2 linked regions of the Mytilus edulis genome follow. The protein of the gene in region 1 binds, or shares a complex with, the protein of each later gene. Links are inferred from orthologs where the notes say so. Each region holds a gene or a part of one and is shown in the gene's direction. Other genes may lie near its edges.

Evidence for each region. Proteins that work in one complex are often made in the same cells at the same time.
Region 2: mediator of RNA polymerase II transcription subunit 12-like protein (region 1) and cyclin-C-like share a complex: the UniProt entries of both Drosophila melanogaster proteins name them as parts of the cdk8 module of the Mediator complex. The link is inferred for Mytilus edulis from reciprocal best matches to the Drosophila melanogaster genes kto and CycC.

The regions. Positions count from the first base shown.
Region 1 is NC_092346.1:96,950,126-96,960,666, forward strand, and holds the start of mediator of RNA polymerase II transcription subunit 12-like protein, read left to right. Parts: upstream 1-6,076; 5' UTR 6,077-6,130; coding exon 6,131-6,241; intron 6,242-7,241; coding exon 7,242-7,307; intron 7,308-8,371; coding exon 8,372-8,410; intron 8,411-10,541. UniProt on the Drosophila melanogaster protein: Component of the Mediator complex, a coactivator involved in regulated gene transcription of nearly all RNA polymerase II-dependent genes.
Region 2 is NC_092346.1:91,811,019-91,822,253, forward strand, and holds the start of cyclin-C-like, read left to right. Parts: upstream 1-6,297; 5' UTR 6,298-6,448; coding exon 6,449-6,480; intron 6,481-11,235. UniProt on the Drosophila melanogaster protein: Component of the Mediator complex, a coactivator involved in regulated gene transcription of nearly all RNA polymerase II-dependent genes.

The DNA.
Region 1 (10,541 bases):
ACGCACAGTCTGCTTTAAAAGGCCCCGAAATGACAAATAAAATACTAAAATACATTTCAAACGAGAAAACTAACGGCGTAATTTATGTACAAAAAAGGAACAAAAAACAATATGTCACACATCAACAAAAGACAACCACTGAATTACGGGCTCCTGACTTGGGACAGGCACATCCATACATAATGTGGTTTGGTTAAACATGTTAGCGGGATCCCAACCCTCCCTGAGAGTATTCGGGGCCTTTTTGCCAGGATAATTGTAAAAAATATGTTGTATGATTGCCAATGAGACAACTCTCCACAAGAGACCAAATGAAACAGAAATTACCAACTAGGTCACCGTACGGTCTTCAACAATGAGCAAAGCCCATAACGCACAGTCTGCTTTAAAAGGCCCCGAAATGACAAATAAAATACTAAAATACATTTCAAACGAGAAAACTAACGGTCTAATTTATGTACAAACTAGAGGCTCTAAAGAGCCTGTGTCGCTCACCTTGGTCTATGTGCATATTTAACAAAGGACACAAATGGATTCATGACAAAATTGTATTTTGGTGATGGTGATGTGTTTGAAGTTCTTACTTTACTGAACATTCTTGCTTCTTACAATTATATCTATAATGAACTTTGCCCATTAGTAACAGAGAAAAATATTTGGTAAAAATTTACATAAATTTACCAAATTAATGAAAATTGTTAAAAAAATTGACTATAAAGGGCAATAACTCCTTAAGGGGTCAATTGACCATTTAGGTCATGTGGACTTATTTGTAGATCTTACTTTGATGAACATTATCGCTGTTTACAGTTTATCGCTATCTATAATAGTATTCAAGATAATAACCAAAAACAGCAAACTTTCTTTAAAAATTACCAATTGGAGGGCAGCAACCCAACAACAGGTTGTCCAATTCATTTGAATATTTCAGGGCAGATATATATTGACTTGATTAACAATTAAACTCCTTGTCAGATTTCCTCTAAATGATTTGGTTTCAGAGTTGTAAGCAAAAAACTACATTTTACCCCTGTTCTATTTTTAGCCGTGGTGGCCATCTTGGTTGGATGGCCAGGTCATCGGACACATTTTTCAAACAAGGTACCTCAAAGATGATTGTGGCCAAGTTTGAATTAATTTGGCCCAGTAGTTTCAGAGGAGAAGATTTTTGTAAAAGATAACTAAGATTTACGAAAAATGGTTAAAAATTGACTATAAAGGGCAATAACTCCTAAAGGGGTCAACTGACCATTTTCGTCATGTTGACTTATTTGTAAATCTTACTTTGCTGAACATTATTGCTGTTTACAGTTTATCTCTATCTATAATAATATTCAAGATAATAACCAAAAACGGCAAAATTTCCTCAAAATTACCAATTCAGGGGCAGCAACCCAACAACAGGTTGACCAATTCATCTGAAAATTTCAGGGCAGATAGATCTTGACCTGATAAACATTTTTACCCCACTTCAGATTTGCTCTAAATGCTTTGGTTTTTGAGTTATAAGCCAAAAACTGCATTTTACCCCTATGTTCTATTTTTAGCCGTGGCGGCCATCTTGGTTGGTTGACCGGGTCACGCCACACATTTTTTTAACTAGATACCCCAAAGATGATTGTGGCCAAGTTTGGATTAATTTGGCCCAGTAGTTTCAGAGGAGAAGATTTTTGTAAAAGATTACTTAGATTTATGAAAAATGGTTAAAAATTGACTATAAAGGGCAATAACTCCTAAAGGGGTCAACTGACCATTTCGGTCATGTTGACTTACTTGTAAATCTAACTTTGCCAAACATTATTGCTGTTTACAGCTTATCTCTATCTATAATAATATTCAAGATAATAACCAAAAACAGCAAAATTTCCTCAAAATGACCAATTCAGGGGCAGCAACCCAACAACGGGTTGACCGATTCATCTGAAAATTTCAGGGCAGATAGATCTTGACCTGATAAACATATTTACCCCATGTCAGATTTGCTCTAAATGCTTTGGTTTTTGAGTTATAAGCCAAAAACTGCATTTTACCCCTATGTTCTATTTTTAGCCGTGGCGGCCATCTTGGTTGGTTGACCGGGTCACGCCACACATTTTTTAAACTAGATACCCCAATGATGATTTTGGTCAAGTTTGGTTAAATTTGGCCCAGTAGTTTCAGAGGAGAAGATTTTTGTAAAAGTTAACGACGACGGACGACGGACGACGACGGACGACGGACGACGGACGACGACGACGGACGCCGGACGCAAAGTGATGGGAATAGCTCACTTGGCCCTTCGGGCCAGGTGAGCTAAAAAGGAACAAAAAGCAATATGTCACACATCAACAAAAGACAACCACTGAATTACGGGCTCCTGACTTGGGACAGGCACATCCATACATAATGTGGTTTGGTTAAACATGTTAGCGGGATCCCAACCCTCCCTGAGAGTACTCGCATTTACTGACAGCTAGTTCCAAGCCACAAAAAACTGATAAAAAATCATGCATCTAAGACTAACTTATCAATCAGTACACATCCAACATCCAATGAATCAGAGAAAAATATGACCATACGCAATGCCAAGATACAGGTATTGACAGATTGTAGATCCATAAGTAGATCTTTTATACCTTATCAAATGCTATTTGTATATCTACGAAGCCAACGTTACTTTCTTGGGTTGGAAGGCATCTTGTACTACCTGCAATAGATGTAAAGTCTGGTCTTCTGTGCTTTTGTATTGTCTAAAACCACTTGTTCTCCGACTCTAAGTACATGTGCATGCGCTTGTTTATTATGTGCTCCAACAACTGACAACAGCTGCTTGTTATGCTTATAGGACGATAACTTGAGGCTTTTGACTAGTTTCTTTCCTTTCTTTAGTATTGGCATCATTATTGCTTCCTTCCAGCATTGTGGGACTATAATTGTCTGCAGCTAAGATTGAAGATGTCCAGCAAAGTATATAGTGTTGAGTTCCCTATAGGTGGTGAAGCATCTCATTTGTGATGTTATCTGGACCTGGAGACTTTTTCATCTTTAGCATTCTTATCGATTGTTTCATCTCACACATTGTGATGTCAATTTGCATGCATGATCTCATGTACAGGTGTTTTCTGTCTAACTCTTATTTCTGCTCTTACTTCTTTTTTACATAAAGTTGGGATGTTGGTATTGTTTTCTACCTCACAGCCTTTTGCAGATGCATTTGCAGCAGCTTTTCCTGTCTGTAGTTGTTCTTCCTTCAACTTCTAGAGTTATCTTTTGGCCTTTACTTCCCTCATAATTTAGTGCTTTTGTCAATCCACAGCTTTGTTGTATCTTTCTCCATTTTTAAAGATGATGTTTTTTGTCTCTCCATCCTTTTCACTGTCTCTCATGTTTTGTTCTAAGGTGTTTTACCTTGCTTTGTTAGAGTTTGATGTTATTCTCCTGGCTGGGGTTTCATTCAGCCTCTTTTCTTGCTCTTGTGAGTGCATCATGTGTTTCCTGAATTTCATTGGATCAGTATGGCTTGTAGTTCTTTCTCACACCCATTGGTAAACTTTCTTTTGCCGCTTGCATTGAATATCTTGTCTTGACAACATTGTCGATGTTCTTTCCTTCAATAAGTATGTCCTTTGTAAGTTCATTTGCTCTTGTTTCAAAATTTCCTTAAATTGTCTTCTTGGTAATTGAGTGAAAAAAATTATTTGAAAGAAAAAATCATTGTATCGACATCTTTCGAAACAAAAAGCTTGGCAAGCAACAAACCCTAAAGGTCTGTCAACTGGAAAAGAAGGAAAATTTAATAATCAAACATAATCAAAAGGTCTTTCCACGGAGAATCTATCTATGTATGTTAAAGTTTATATATTTACACAAATGAACATGAGTGAAAAGGTGTCTATAATGATTGGTTCAATACTGATATAAGATATAGTGTATTATGTAGATTAATAAGGTTAAATAAAATATGATATTGAAAGACTTATATCGGCACAACAAATGGCAATCGTCAGTGTTGATTTTAAGAAATAATTTTATCTACTTGTAGAAGGAAGATTTTGTCGATAAATATGCGGCTTGGTAAGAACTAAACTAGCATAGTCGGGTACAAAACTCTTATCAAATTTGTATGCAATAGTGTTTACGAAATCATCGGCTTATGACTCAGAGATCTTCCATAAGGGATCATGTTAGCTAGCTTGTGACCGGATTTACTCAATAACACGAATTCAATACCTCATATTGTCTTCCAAAATTCACATCAGCGGTCACCACAGTGTCGACCTTTTGCAAATGAGGATATGTAGTATTACTGCCACTGAGACAACTATCCACCAGATTTCGAATGATGTGGATGTTAGTAATCATATGTAGACGTCCGATCTTCATTAAAGAGAAAACCACAATCCATAAAGACCGCTAAACAGAAGCCCCCTTTTCATGTTAAAATAGTCCTCGTGTTAATATATGGATCTGAATGTTTCACTCATCACCCCTTTTTTTTGTTAGCTCTGGTGTTTTCTGTAGAAAGTGTAAGCAATTAAAACAAATAAAAATCATTGCAACTTTTCCTCATTTTCACTATAATTAGTGTAGTCAGCTTCATGTTCCTTCCTTAACTGAAGAAAAAGATGTTTTGTTTAAAACTAAAATTTAACATAAAGAAATTATGATCCATTCTTTTCACCATTGTCAGCCTTCAATTGCTATGTGGCGAAGTGTCGTATTTTCTGAGTTCAAGATCAGCGGCTTTCCTCGATAGGGAGTTATCTACAATTAAATTAAAATATAGAACGTTGATTTCGTTGTACTCTCATGTGCCATAGTTTCATGCTGCAGTAGAGATGCTATGTTTACTGAATTTTGTCTGTACCTTTGAAGTGCATTAGATGTTTAAAATTATAGGCTCTTTGTCAACATTTTGTTTTAAAAACTTAGATTGTTCTCAATATTATTTTTTTTTATCTCATATTGTTTGAATTGTATTGTGAAAACTATTGATGTTGTGATGTTACGGGTCCATAATTTGAAATAAAACTTCTCCTTCTTAGCCGATAATTTAAGATTATCTTTAATAGTTTAAGATTATCTTTAAATAAGGAATACATAATTATTAATATTATGACCAGTATTATGCATATCATTAATATTATAACTTTTATCATTAATATCTTTATACTGAATCATACAGCATATCCTTATTGTTGTGTTGTTAACTATTACAGCACTGAGACTTCACGATCAAATAATCTATTAAGTTGTTATTCTGTTTATAATTTTCTTAAGCTTCATTCCTGATAGTCTGGGGACTTCGTGTAATAAATATATACATTTGTTAAAAAAAAATCATTTGAAAATGAGAGATTGCTAATTATGAGGAATATATATATGAGGTATCACTGAGACTACTACCGGTATAACACATGTGTTATAGAAGTCTTGGGTATTATCAAAGAGTTGGGTATCAATAATACTATACAAATCCTTGGTAGTATTAAAAAAAAAGTTGAACATGAAATTGATGAATAAGCTTAATATTGTAAGCAAACCGATCCGTGCGCAGTCGACCCTGAACCTGTTTAAAAGTATGATCAACAACTGGAATGGCAACTCATGCAGATGTGGCACCTGCAGATCTTAGAGCTTTTATTTTTTTTATGTTTTCCATGCTACTTTTATTTTTACAATTTGCTTTATCTATTTCGTCTGCTTTGCATGTGCTTATCTAGTTTAGTGCTTTACTTGTTTGTGGTTGCTTTTTGTCAAGGATTTGTATACTATACAAATCCTTGCTTTTATATATCTTATTATGAACATTATAGTACTATTATTGCTTTTGGAATCATAGCTGTCTTACTTTGTGTATGTTTTATATGTCCTATATGTCTTACTATTGTATGTGTGGTTGTTGTTATTAAGGTTGGCAAAAACTCTACACAGCTTATGTTTGTAATGTTCATGTAACCCGATTAAAAATAAAATTTTCCATTTTATTCTATTAGATTTATATAAAGTAATTTGTCACGGCCTAAGAAAGATAACTCTTTATTTTAAGCGAGATCAATTGGGCGTTTCAATTACCAGCTGCAAAGAATACTACGGAAAAGACGCCGATCAACCCAGAAAATGTAAATTTCCCCAATCTGACAAATTTACGATGCAGATGCAGATGCAGATGTCTGCATATCCTTCACAGGAATTTAGACCTTTAAAAAAGCCAAGATTGGGACCGCCAGATGTATATCCACAAGAACCTAAACAGAAAGAGGTATTTATTTAAAGAAAGGAAGTAAATTATAAGGTTTTACACCCGATGAGCTACCGTCCATTATAGCAAATTATGAATGCGATTCATTGTTTACTTTAAAAGATTCCTGCATCACATCGAAGTTATCCACCGAAGGTCGCCGGTTTTTACCTGGAACTTCCTCAACCTATTAAAACTAACCGCACAAAATAATAAAAATGCTGAAAATGTCCAATCAAAAACAATGAACACAGAAAACTTAATTTACTATATCATATGTCATAATCCTGTGTCTAACAAATTAACCATAAGTACCGTGTTACGGAGAAATTTAGTACCAGGATGAAATAATCCAGCACAAAGAGAACAGTTGTGTCATAATATTGACATCAGGATTAGGTCAGATCATATATTTTCGTTTGTCACAGGAATTCGTGCTAATGCTTTTATGATGGAAAGTGTGGAGCCACTGCATTCTTATGAGATGAATATATATTTCATATTTTTCATGATTCCTGACAAGAACATTAAAATTATATTTTGGTATACAACTGACCAATGTACTATAAAATAACATTGAATTGCAAATCAATCTAATAAAAATTCATTGGTGTGAACAAAATCCAGGTATGCACATGTTATGGGAAAGAATGGACATGATACTCCTTTGGACTTTAGAATAGGTAAAACTGTATTGGCTTGTATTGATTGGCATAGACATAAAGAGCAGTCTGCAAAGAAACACTAGCCCTTTACCTTTTACTAACTGGTACACAAATGTAAATAGTGGTCCAGCATAAGTCACAAGGCAGATTGGTTCTTGTTGACTGGAAGGGCAATCATTTTCATTAAACCTTGATCAATGGACTTGTGAAAGTTACATCACAGAACAATACAAAAACAATATGAAAATTATTATATTTGAATATATAATTTATTAATATTTCGGGAGTTGTTTGCAGCAGTTACACTGTGTTTACAACCATGAAGTGGTTCATAATAATATTTTTTTATAATTTAGGATGAACTTACAGAGAAAAGTGTTAAACATGGCTTCAACAACACACAGATGTATAACATGGACGAGGTTAGTGTTAATTAAGTGATAATCAGTCACATGGATTATGTAGATGTCATGGGTATAGCATTTTCTTTCCAGTTGTTTATCAAGGACATTTTATGTGACTGATTACCTCCTGTCCCTTTTTTATAAGATAAAAAGTCCGGTTGCAAATATTACATTTATGTAAGGATTAGAAACTGTTTATGTGAAATGATATCAACCCTGGCTGATTATAACTAGACTGACATACTGAGTCACAACTAGTTAGACACACTTTTGCTAAAGTAAATGATACATTTCTGATCTAATACCTGCCAACTTTTCAAAATCTTTATGTTGGGTTTTAACAATGTTTAAGCACAATAGGAACAAATCTATCTCTAAGGGAGATGGATTTATATAAGTTCTTCTTGTCTCCAAATCCCTGTATTTCTATTGTATAATTGTATTTTGTGCACTTTCGAAAATGTAACAGTGTTTAAACTCAAACTAAAACCTATCTCCTGTATTAAGTGATTTAATCTTCATGTACTAGTATATTCTATTGTATCTCCTTTGAATGCTTGTTATGAGGTATTTAATGAAGGGAATGGAGAATATATAGAGGTTGGTCAACATATTCAATGGGGAAAATCGGCATAATTCTGTGATCCACAGTCAGTAGTGATAGTTTATTTTGAAATACATTGAACAAATTGTGTAAATTCTTTAGCTGGCTAGTTACCCATTAAAAAAAGATTTTTATGGAGTAACAGACTTAAAGTTGCTATTGTGAACAATGGGAACTACTCCGTCATTCTTTTTATTAATGCTTTGACATAAGCGAAAAAAAATTAATAGTTGTTTATGGTAAAAGTATATTTGTAAGATTTAAATAATAAGCTATATTTCAGTATTTGTTTTTAGTGTTTGGTCCAGAATTTCATTTTCTACATTATAAACCTGACAGGTAAATTTACTATTCAAGATCTATTTAAAAGTGTTCAAATAATAACAAAAATGTGTAACCCACTTTTGGGATTTATAATTTTGACTCCTTCTTTAATTCTGCAAAGATTAATCTAATAATTGATGTTATTTTGTTGTAGTATGGATCAGCAAGAAGAGAGAACATCAGTGAAGAAAAGGTTTGTTAATAAACTGAAGAAAATAACACTTTACTATGAATTATGGATATGTCATGTATATATAACATACATCTTCTTCAGTCACATAAATGCAGGGTTTCCCCTGGGTCAATTATTTTTTTCGCCACCTCTTTCGCCAAAACAATATATTTTTCGCCACTTTATTATTTTTTTCGCCAAGTAACATAACTATATTCATTGAATGTATTTTAAACAACTTTTCTAAATGAGGGGGCCACTTTACTTTTAATAATAAAGAAGATATAAGTCCTGGAATATAACAAAATTAATGGCCATGTTTTGATTATATAATACCAGTATAGTTCGTAGGGAAAGTTTCTTTAAAAGAAAAATACTGATGTGGCTTTTTGTACTAAGAAGCGGTTTTTACAACAAAAGAAAAGCTTTTATCACATGAAATTGATCCCTCATTTTATGTGGTCATAAAATTTAAGAGCTACTCTCATTCAAGGGGTTGTTCCCAACCTTTTGGATAGATTTCTTCATAACCACAGTTTTCTTTTCTTGACCATCGTAAATGAAAAAGTTGAGACGTAAAACTATGCTTGAAACACGTGTCACTCAAACGACTTTAAAGTAGTCTCCCTGATCAATTACCTATATTAAAGTCAAAGGATAATTAAAGTTTTAAATCGGAGATTTTTCTTGCTTTTGAACATTTTTCGTCACAACAACTGCTTTCTTTTATTTATAAAACTATCTTTAAAAGGAGAGGAGACGTCAAAAGAGTTCTTCAAACACGTGCATCGCAAAGTGGTAAATAAATTCTGTATGTGACATTTAGCGGAAGCCATTTAACCATATCATTTTGTCAATCAATTCAATCAACACCTTTATTAATTAGTCCTTTGTTGTCGATAGCTATAAAATGCAATCAGCTGATTATTGATTTTCTGTCCAAATCTTAATGAGGTCAAGGTGAATTCCGAGTATTGTCTGATAAGGTAAAGTCCGAGAAATTCGAAAAAAGTAAATAAACAAGATGGAGGAAAATAAATCGTTCTATATATTTCTTTCGCCAAATTCTTTCGCAAATGACGAATTTTTATCGCCACAACTATTATTTTTTCGCAAATTGCGAAAATGGCGACCGCCAGCAGAAACCCTGTAAATGTATGAAAATTGGTACTTTAAACAGTTACAAATTATTTTTTTAGAAGAAGCCAATGTAATACGTTCTCAAAGTAGATATTAGCCAATTTTATCAAGATACATATCAAAAATACTGTAGAGATTCCATTGATAAAAATCTAATTGACTAGTTCATTGATGTTTTTTTTTAATCGTCAATATAAGGATCTAATTCTTGCAATTATTACAAAATAACTGATTCAACTTTAGTATATGCTTGTTCCATTCTTGTTAAAATGTCGAACCAAATTCATCCAGTCTTTATTTTATTTATTTTTTATCAAATTAAAAATATGTTATTCCTGCCATTTTAAAATAAAGTTTACGATACTTTAATGATACATGTAATGATATTTATAGGAAAATTTGAATACAATGTTCAATAAATTTACTCATTTCTTTTATTGATCTTGGTTGTGGATGTCCCTCAATACAAATATAGGAACAACAAATGACATTTTACTTATTACAAATATAGGACCAACAAATGACATTTTAGTTATTACAAATATAGGACCAACAAATGACATTTTAGTTATTTAATACAAATATAGGAACAACAAATGACATTTTAGTTATTTAATACATATATAGGAACAACAAATGACATTTTAGTTATTACAAATATAGGACCAACAAATGACATTTTAGTTATTTAATACAAATATAGGAACAACAAATGACATTTTAGTTATTTAATACAAATATATAGGAACAACAAATGACATTTTAGTTATTTAATACAAATATATAGGAACAACAAATGACATTTTAGTTATTACAAATATAGGACCAACAAATGACATTTTAGTTATTTAATACAAATATAGGAACAACAAATGACATTTTAGTTATTTAATACAAATATATAGGAACAACAAATGACATTTTAGTTATTACAAATATAGGACCAACAAATGACATTTTAGTTATTTAATACAAATATAGGAACAACAAATGACATTTTAGTTATTACAAA
Region 2 (11,235 bases), about 5.1 Mb from region 1:
TTGGAATTACTGCAATTACATGAAGTAGGTGTATTTTCACTGATATTACCATCTTTACACAATTGGCTATAATTAAACACAAATTTCCGGGTAGATTTCTTGTAAATATAACAAATAGGAGGGAGCTCAGTATTATCAAAATATCCAGGAATTTGTTCTTTAACAGAATGGTCGTTAAAAATGCCAGCAATATTAACAAAATCAAAACCTTTATTGACATACTTTATTTTAATAAAATGTTTTTTATGATCTTCAGGACGATCAATTTTAGGAAACAGTTTAAAATAACAATATGCCATTATAATTTGAACGATTTCATACTTAGGACTGCTATATGAAATTGTGTTGCAATCCTCTAAAATTGTATTTAACTTATTAATCGGTGATGAACAGAGCTTTGTTAACAGATAATGTCTGCCGTTGTTTTTTGAAATAGAAATTAAGTCCGAAATATTGGTATGATTTGTCCGAAATTTTCTTTTATTACGATTTTTTCTACGACCATGAGAGCGTTTTTTTTCGAACTGTTTTAGAAACAATATCCAAAATGTTAACTGAATCGGTTCTTGATATATTGCCAATTCCCATGATATTATAATTTAAACCGAGAGGGTAGACTGTCTGTAATTTTTTAATCCAATTTAATTCAATTATTTTCCGTGATCGTACACACTTTGAATGAGATTCACCAGGCTGTTTATTTACTACTTCCAAAGGTTGAACTTCTAAATATTCAATAGGATGATTGTGCTTAAGGTGTTGTAAATGATACTTTTGAATTTATTGGGTCTTTTAAAACGATACAGATGTTCTTGAGTGCGTTTAGATAAATACCGTCCAGTTTCACCTACGTACTGAATACCGCATCCCGGTTTGTTTCATGCGAGTAAATAAATAAGACTGTTTGTTTTTCAAGTTATATCAGTTTCAAATTTAAAAAAAAATGTGCGACTATTAAATGTGGACCTTACCGTATTGTTGGTGGAAAGACGGGGACATGTAAGTCATTTTTTGGCATGACACTTATCGATAGAAGGGTAACTACGATTTTTATTGTTAAAAATATTAGCGATGGTCGTATTTTTAGATAAGCGTTTTGAAGATTGAGACGTGTAGATACCCTTTGAACGAGTTTAGTATTAAAATATTTTTCCATTTCTAATCTTCATATTTGTTTTTTTGTTTGTGAATTATATTAGAAAGGAGCAAAGACTGGTGTCCAGAATATGAACCAGCATACAATGAATTAAGTTATGTAAAAATGATAAATCTGTTCGGATAAAGATGTCAAACGCTATCCGTATTAATTACCCCGAAAAGATTAGGATATATCAGGGTATCGACTGACGTCTGACAAAATAGTAGAAAGGGGCTGAATATTGAAGTAGTTACTTTTTGATAAATATTCCTAAAGTAATGAACTAGAGAAGTTCTCGCTCGGACACACACTCCATAATCTAGTATATTATAAGAGCATATGCCTAACAGTATAATTAGGCAATAGACTTACTGCCTAGGCGTTAGCTTATTGCCTAGGATTTAAGCTTAATGTCTAATTTCACTTATTGCCGCTAACATATACATTTCTCTATAAAACAGGTTTGTTCAGATAATAAGCATACATGAAAAAAATGTTAGAATTTGTCATTTAAGGGCAATAACTCCTACAAGAACTCTTCTGACAAATTTAAAGTAAATTGACAATCTGTAAATCTCATCATACGTAACACTTAAGTTCATGACAGATTGTTTTTGTTCATATCGGTTTTCAGACCAAACTTGGCTGCTGATTTTCTATATTTATCTAAATGGTAAAAGAAAGAAAAATCTTTAACCAACATTTTCTCTTTCTTTTCCTGTAGACGGTTAGATATATGTCAAAAAGAATAACATCGGAAATGTGGTATCGGGAATCAATGAGGAGGTTTTGGAAACGGGCTACAGACTTATTTAATCATTTTATGGGTGAACCAAAAAGTATTGGCCACATTACAGAAAACTTTTGTGAGCTCGGAATGACAATCACAAGACGCAGTGATTAATTTTGCAGTTCCCAGCCAAAAGATACGATCAGAATTCATCGCCATGGACCTTGATATCCCAAATTCTTACTTCGGCTTTAGATATCTTGGTTTTAACGTTGAAACATGTCTTCAAGTTCCATGAGGCTGAAATGGTTTCCTTGTGATCAGTGGATTACAGGCGTAACTGTTACAGCTATCGGAAATTGTCGGAAATGACCTTTCTTGTATCAACTCGGTTCTTTCTAGTGCAAGTGACATATTTGGAACATACTCATATTATGTTAATGAAAGCACAATAGATATCTCGTATCAAGGAAACCATGACAGCCTCGTGGAACATGATGAAATGTTTCAACGTTAGAACCAAGATATGTAAAGCAGAGGTCAGATTTAGGGTTGTCAACGGCATAGCGATGAAGTGTGATAGTATCTTTAGTTTTGACTTGGAACTGCATAAAATTTTCCTGCGTCCTGGGGATCGTATATTCCACGCTCATAAAAATTTCGGAGTGTCTATTCGTTCGGTTGTCCGGCTAGCCGGACGAATAGCCATTACCTGCAAATTTTCTGTAATGTGTCCAATACTTTTTGGTCCACCCATAAAATATAAAAAAAATACCGAGAAAAATGATGTAACCAGTTTCCCGTCGGATACAGCCGATTTCCGATGTTATTCCTTTTGAAATTAATCTGACCGTCTACAGGGAAAAAAAAGAGAGAAATATTGTCTAAAGATTTTTTTTCTTTTACCATTTGGATAAAAGATAGAAATCAGCAGCCAGATTAAATTTTTTTGAATCTCTGTTTTGAAATCGTTAAGAATATTAGTGTCATCGTCTTCATCTCTCCTTGAAGCTGTATTGACATTTGATGGAAAAAAAATTCCGGTGAGTGTTTCATTGGAGAAAGTAATCGAGTTTGTTTTAGAGTGGTTGCTTTTGCGGCTTGCGCGAGAGCTTTTGAGAGGAACCTGGTGATGCACTTTGATGGAGTTTGACTGATGGTGGCTTCGGCCAAATATTTTATAGAGGTGTGTTCTGTGATTTTCCTCGATGTATCTGTGCAATGAGCCTCAACCGGGACCTTTTCTGAGTCAATTTTTTTACTTTTTACGAAATCAAAAGCACATGTCTTAAAAGACAATTTCAAAGAAAACAGGCAAAATGAAGTACATTCAGTATGTAATGTCTTATCATAAAATAGCAGATATGTTTGAACTAAAAAGTATCAGATATAGACCGATTTATATGTAAATCTATTCTATTTTTATAAAAAGCGATCTACCCCTTGAGACGCAAAATCTGACACCCCGAGCGACACTTCATATTTGGATGAAAAACTAGTTTTAAAATCAATTAATTTTAAGTAAGAAGCTGGTATTTGGTTAAATTACATGACAGGAATTCAATTCTATATGATACGGAAGGAAGTCGTCTAAAGAAGTTTTTTATCCAGAAATTTGCATATGAAGCCTCAAAATCTGCAACACGGAAAACTAGGGAGAGGTGTTTGAGGAAACATAGTACTAAATACGACTGCTTCTGCTTGCAGGAAATAGATTATGTTTCAGTTCATTCCGTGCAATACATTTTATGGTACTAAGAATTCTAAGAAAAAGAAATTTTGATACTTGAACTTACTTTGATAGTTTTTCTCCGCTTCGAAATTGCCACCCGGCCCGTGTCAAACATAGCCGACACCCCGCATGCATGTGGCGTTCTACAAGGTGTATTTGCAAAGAAAGAAATATGGATATGAAAATGGCACAAAATAATGAATGTACGCATTGTCATTCAGATAAAGCACAAACAAAATTATTTTCAGCAGAAAACAATATGGACCCTAAACATATTCCTTCCAAATTTATTATTTTATTTTAGACCGATGAAAAACCAAATATGTAGGTATATGATTAACTGGCATATAAGGTATTATATATTAAGAAGATTTTTTTAATAAAATTGAAAATCTTTTCCAGGTCATTTAAACATTTCCATACCGCTTCTCCTTCTCATCAGAAACCCTGCTAGTACTAGATTCAGTATGAATTTCGTTTTCACCGACTTATTCTCGCCCATTTGTATATTCATCAAATCATCACTTTCCTTTTGCAAGATATTTGTTTTAAAGAAGTCCCTGTGCTTTTTTTTTATGATGAATGATCAGTAACTATTGTTTAAAGTAAAGTAAAGTAATCTTTATTTAAAGTCGGTTTGCATATATACATAATAACAAGGAACATATGATCTTAAGAGCTCTTTAACCGACTGATATTAATAAACAAAAAATACATGTAATAACATCAGATACATATACAACACAAACACACAAACAGACAGACAGACAGCATACATATGTATCAATACATAAATAGCACATGCAAAATAAAAGCTAAGCAAGATATATATTAAAAGAATGTCAAATATCAGCACATAGTAGAATATATAGACAATAACTGTTTAGTGTCTTTAAATATCAGCTGTATTTGTACGAGGCTAGGAAACAAGGTGTATGCGAGCTTTTAGCGAGCTATTACACCTGTTTCGAGCCGAGTACAAATACAGCTGATATTTAAAGACACTAAACAGTTATTGTCTTTATCCTGCAATTAATTCTGTATATCATTTGTGTTTTGAAAGACACAAAAATACATATTTTGCATTTATTTTCGATTTGAAATCCCTTGAGGCCCGTGTAGTAATACGATATGTAGTAATCACACATTCAGAAGAAGGCGGGTTCGCAAAAAAAGAATCTCGAATGGTCAACAATAATACATCGCTCAAGGTGAATAATTATCTATTTTAACATAACAACTAATTTCAACAGTAAAAACAAATAACAAAACATTGTCCAATTTGAGACAGGAGTGTACGAGTTGTCCTACGCTTCAGACTCGACATTTACTTAAAATGCATGCTGAAATTGACATGGTTGTTTTTGTTACACAACCATACACATTCAAGTTGTTCATGTGTGTATGTTATCAGACAATTGGTGTGATTCTTATTGCTCTAAAGAAATGTTTGGAAACAAACAGAACGTATAAAAGTAATCGTTAATTCGCAATTGATACGTCATTGGAATGCGACTCCAATACACATTCTGAGGTCACGTAGGTTCATACAATACTCAGTCCGGCAGTTGGCGGAGCTTTTAAGCGATATCTGTATAGTATACAGATACAGCAAAGCGATATCTGTAGGGCTGTATCTGTATAGTAGAACACCCAATTGCAGGATAAAGTAGTATTTATATTAGAATAGCACATGTAAAATTAAACACTATGAACACAAGCAAAAGACTGCATGCAGCTAAAGCACACAATGCATAAGCAAATAAATAAATAAATAAATAAATAAATAAATAAATAAATAAATAAATAAATAAATAAATAAATAAATAAATAAATATATAAATAAAAATAACCGGCTGCAAAAAATAACGGAAAAGCGAAAAGTTATCCCCAATACACGGATGCCCCACTCGAACCGGGTATCATTTTCTATGTTCAGTGGACCATGAAATTGGGGTAAAAACTCTAATTTGGCATTAAAATTAGTACGATCATGTCATAGGGAACATGTGTACTAAGTTTCAAGTTGATTGGACTTCAACTTCATCAAAAACTAACTTGACCAAAAACTTTAACCTGATGCGGGCTGGGACAGACGGAAGAACGAACGAACGGTACGACGAACGGACGGACGGACTGACGCACGCACGAACGTAGGTGGGCATAACAATACCAGGCTTCAAATTCAAATCATTGGACAGCAAGGAGTTACATTATTTACAAGAGCTGCAGGTACAATTTATGAAAAAGAGCAGGTGGAGATAAAAATTTTAACTGTTTGAAGGCTAGAAACTGGCATTTAAATGTTTTGTATGGTTTACTCAAACCTTGGCCTTACCCATAACAACTATGTTTTGTCAATAACTTGGTTTATATCAGGTTAATTAGTGTAAATGTGTATTCATGTGGTTTTTTGTTTAAATGTACTTTAATCATTCTAATCATTTTCTGTGCTTTATTTTGTAATTCATTTGATTGTATAGCTCAAATTTTGGGCACCATGATTGGTTAATAAAATTATCTATCTACCTTAACTTTGCACAGGGAGAATTATAAATGTTTATTCGCTGGTTAACGATTACGTTCGTCAATTCCATTATTATTTATATTGTTACCAATATCGAGGGGCCTCAAAATCAGCTTCAAAATAATTGACGTCAAATCTCGGAAATGTCACACAGTTGGTCGGCATTTGATGCTGCGATTCTAATCATTTTCGGACATCCGGATCTTTTTTTCCCAGAAAAAATAATAACATTACAGATAGGACTCAACTAGAAAGCACCTGTTATTAATACCCCAGTGCGATACAGTTATTTTGATAGTATGAATTGATACACAGTTGAAAATGGCAGGAAACTTCTGGCAAAGTTCTCATTTGTATGTACAAAAAGAAGTTTAATAAATATTAGCATGTACCACACAAAAGATTACTATGAAAAATGAAATACTAAGGCATATCAGAAAAAAATCATAAATTGGATTGAATTCTTTTCTTTCAAATTATCAAGTGGGTGAAATAAAGGGAAGTCAATAGGTATAATTTGTATTGCCTGTTAATATGAGGCAGGCATTACCTGTAAATGGGGACGAAGTCTATATGAATTATTTTTTTGTAACTCAATTATTTGTCAAAAAAAAATACACGGAAATACAGTAACGTTTCCGATTTTGGTTCTGTTGTTAAGGATTTTAGTTGTGACGTTATTTAAATTATGACGTCATATGCAATGTAAACAAGAAACGCTATCATTAGGTAACGTTTTTTCATATCAAGGAATTATTAAAAATAAAATAAGTATTGCGCGTTCCTTCCTATTTTATACTAGACTGATAAATATATATTTTACTCAAAGTTTCATACAAACGAGACCGGAAAAAGGAAGTATATTGTACATTTCTGCGCAGGTCCGGAATTTCAAAACATGACATAAAAAAAATTGAACGATTTTGAGTTCATTAGTACAATGAAAAATTCGGGAAATTTTCCCGAATTTTTTTTTTTATTGAATTTTCTACTGTTATTGGGGACTTCGTCCCCATATAAATATTCTTTCAATATATTACAAAAGTTAAAACACAATATATCGTCGTGTCATATGTTTTTGTATGTCATATGTTTTCGTATCAACCACATTTCGTCGGTTTCGACTGCATACGCGTACATTGTGGCATGTTTTTCTGTTTATATATTTAGAACAACAACACTACTACAACTTGATATATTTAAAACATATTCAACGTCGCTTTTTAAAGACGTTAGAACAAATTAAATAAAACTGACCTATTTAGCCATTTTTATTTAATGTCAAAAATACGCATCACTAGAATAGTTGTGGAAAAAAATTCTGAAGGGTTAAAATAAAGTCCAGATATGTTTTTTTGCAAGTCAGACACCGGATCTTCAAGACGTATGACTGTCATGTGTTTTTTTGGCCGTTTTAATTACAAACCATCGAGTTAAAATTAGCAGGGTTCTTATATAAAATGGTTGTTCAAAATCTAACTATTCAATATTTCATTGACAATTTTTTTTATACATCCTTGATACATGAAGATGAAAACAGTCTTTTACTTTTTATATTTAATCATAAATTTTGAAAACTGCATTTTATTTTAGAAAAAATAATGTATTTTGTACAAACCAGGTGCCAATCTGAAATTAATCAAAATCTAAAAATTTCATCACACGAAACACCAACCTTACACTTTTTACTAGTAATTTTTTGTACTGAAAAGTATTTAATAACTTTTTTTAAGATTCAAGCGATCACCCGAACCACGACTTTAGAAAAAATGTATTTCCGGATTTTGTAGTCATTTCCTGTCCGTGTACTGATCCAACTTTTATTTCATACGAAAACATATGACACCGTTTTTTTGACATACAAAAATCGCAAAGTAATCGGAAACAGTAAAAAATCGTAGAAATCATTGACAAAAAAACTAGATACCTAAAATCAATCTACAGGACATGCTTTTTAAATTTGAGTAAACACCTAAATAGAAACTCAACAGTAAAAACCGTAAGCAGTGAAAATTGTTATAAGTACGAAAACACATTACACGATGATACATGTATCATAAATAATTAAATACATGTACACAAATGAAAATACATAAACATAAATGCATAATAAATATATTTTTTGGCAAACACATCATCCGCCAAGCCTGAAAGGCCGCCAAAAAAATAAAGATAAAATACTAACTATCAAAACAGTTAATCATGATTAACACCAGACATACTATTATCTTTTTTCTCTCTTCAAATAAGCTCCTTCCTTTCAAAATGTGTATAGATAATGAAAGGACAAAACAGCAAACCAACTCAGAATGTATGTAGATCCTGGGTAGTTAGAGGAAAACCAACATTATATTCAGGATGCAAGTTCTCTGAAAAGAGAAAAAAGAATAATTATAGTAAACAATATACATGTATGAAGTACAAAATGTAAATAAAAACACAATTGTAACACATTACAATTTATATACTCTGATGCTTAATAATGTTGATTATCTTTTTTCTGAAAAGTTCTGTACCAGCAAAATTTAAATGAAGCCCATCTCTCGGAAGCAAATGAGGAAGAATCTGGAATATTGTAGAGTAAGAAACTCTATACAAATTACAATATAATAAATTATTTCTTTTACACAATCTTTTTAACTCAGTATTAACTTTATTAACTTTAGCTCCAGTGTTCATGTGATCAACTGGTCTAGGAAGACTTAGCAAATGTCTTCTTTTTTAACTTGTTAATTAAATCTCCAAAATAAGACATAATAGTATCTACGGATTGAGACGAAGAAATATTATTAGTACCAACATGTACTATAAGGAAATCTAATGAAATTAAATCTACTTTCCCAGATGAAATTAATTCAGTAAGACGACCAATAGTGGCACCAGGAAAGGCCTGAGTTGTACACCCATCTATTCCACTAACATATTTAGGTATAGACGCTGACACAATGGTCACCCTTTTTTCTAAGAAATTCCCTGTAAAATTTATAATAAAACATCTGAAATATGTGCTGTCATCTTTTCTGCTACTGAAATCTTATTGTCTAATGAAATTTTAAATATCTCTTGTAAGCATCGATTTTCCAATCTTCGTACAATTGAATTAACTCCGTAGGTACTTCGGCTGCAAAAGCCCAGCTAGCCCCCCCCCTCGCCTAAAACTATGTGTAGAATATGACGACGCATCTATACCAATCTCAGTAATTAACTGTTTCAGTATTGTCTGAAATTGTCTATACAAGACAGGTACACATAATTTATTTTTTATAAACAATAAGCTGGACTCTTATCAGAAGTACAAACCAAAGACTTCATATTCAAAAAAGCTTGAACGGGACACAATGGAGAATCTGGTATTGAGACTAGAGGTATCAATAATTCTCTCTAACCAAACTGAATGGGGTTCGACCATTTAACACTTATCAATAATAGCTTACGCTTACAATCGAAAATAATACATGTACTATCCCTACAAAGCTGTTTATTATGATCAAAAGTAGAAACAGAATCTGGAACCAAATTAGATTTTCTAAACATAAGAAAAAAGGCATGTAAAATTAAACACCATATAGTAGCATCATGCGCACTATTCATATCTACATGTAGCTTATTATAAATTTGAAGTAAAAAGTGAGGAGTAATTGGAAAGGCCTGTTTTAGACAATGTGCCTTAATTCTACATAAACCTCTTAATAGTTAATACTAATCTCAAATGAAAAGCTTCAAACTGTAGATATTCTAAATCTAACAATAAATGCAGATATTTTACTGAACTAATATAATTCTTAGAGTCAACAGATTTAAAACTTCTACTCAGAAACTGTGCATATAATGTCAAAACATAAACTGTAGCAGGAACAGGAATAAGTTCAAAATATATACAAAACATAAAATATGATTCTAACTGAGTTTTTTATACGACCGCAAAAATTTTAATTTTTCGTCGTATATTGCTATCACGTTGGCGTCGTCGTCGTCCTGCGTCGTCGTCGTCTGAATACTTTTAGTTTTCACACTCTAACTTTAGTAAAAGTGAATAGAAATCGATGAAATTTTGTCACAAAGTTTATGACCACAAAAGGAAGGTTGGTATTGATTTTGGGAGTTTTGGTCCCAACATTTTAGGAATTAGGGGTCAAAAAGGGCCCAAATAAGCATTTTCTTGGTTTTCGCACTATAACTTTAGTTTAAGTGAATAGAAATCAATGAAATTTTGACACAAGGTTTATGACCACAAAAGAAAGATTGGGATTGATTTTGGGAGTTTTGGTTCCAACAGTTTAGGAATTAGGGGCCAAAAAAGGGCCAAAATAAGCATTATTCTTTGTTTTCGCACAATAACTTTAGTATAAGTACAAATGTAAATAGAAATCAGTGAAATTTGAAGACAAGGTTTATGACCACAAAAGGAAGGTTGGAATTGATTTTGTGAGTTGAGGTCCCAACAGTTTAGGAATTAGGGGCCAAAATAAGCATTATTCTTGGTTTTCGCACCATAACTTACGTATAAGTAAATAGAAATCTATGAAATTTAAACACAAGGTTTATGACCATAAAAGGAAGGTTGGGTTTGATTTTGAGAGTTTTTGATATGCTGAATCTAAACATGTACTTAGATTTTTGTTTATGGGCCCAGTTTTCAAGTTGGTTCAAATCAGGATCCAAAATTATTATTTTAAGTATTGTGCAATAGCAAGAAATTTTCAATTGCACAGTATTCAGCAATAGCAAGAAATCTTCAATTGCACAGTATTGTGCAATAGCAAGAAATTTTCAATTGCTCAGTATTGTGCAATAGCAAGAAATCTTCAATTGCACAGTATTGTGCAATAGCAAATATTTTCAATTGCACAGTATTGCACAATAGCCAGAAATATCTAATTGCACAATATAGTGCAATAACAAGAAATTTTCAATTGATTGAAGTTATCTTTCTTTGTCCAGAATAGTAGTTGAGTCAACTTAAATCATTGTTTTATACAATATACAATGTATATTCACTTTTACTACCAACTGATAAATTAAAACAATCTTTACCATTCAGTGATAACAAGCACCTTTTGTTACATTTTAATATTTTATGATGTATTTAAATGAGTAGTTATTGTTGC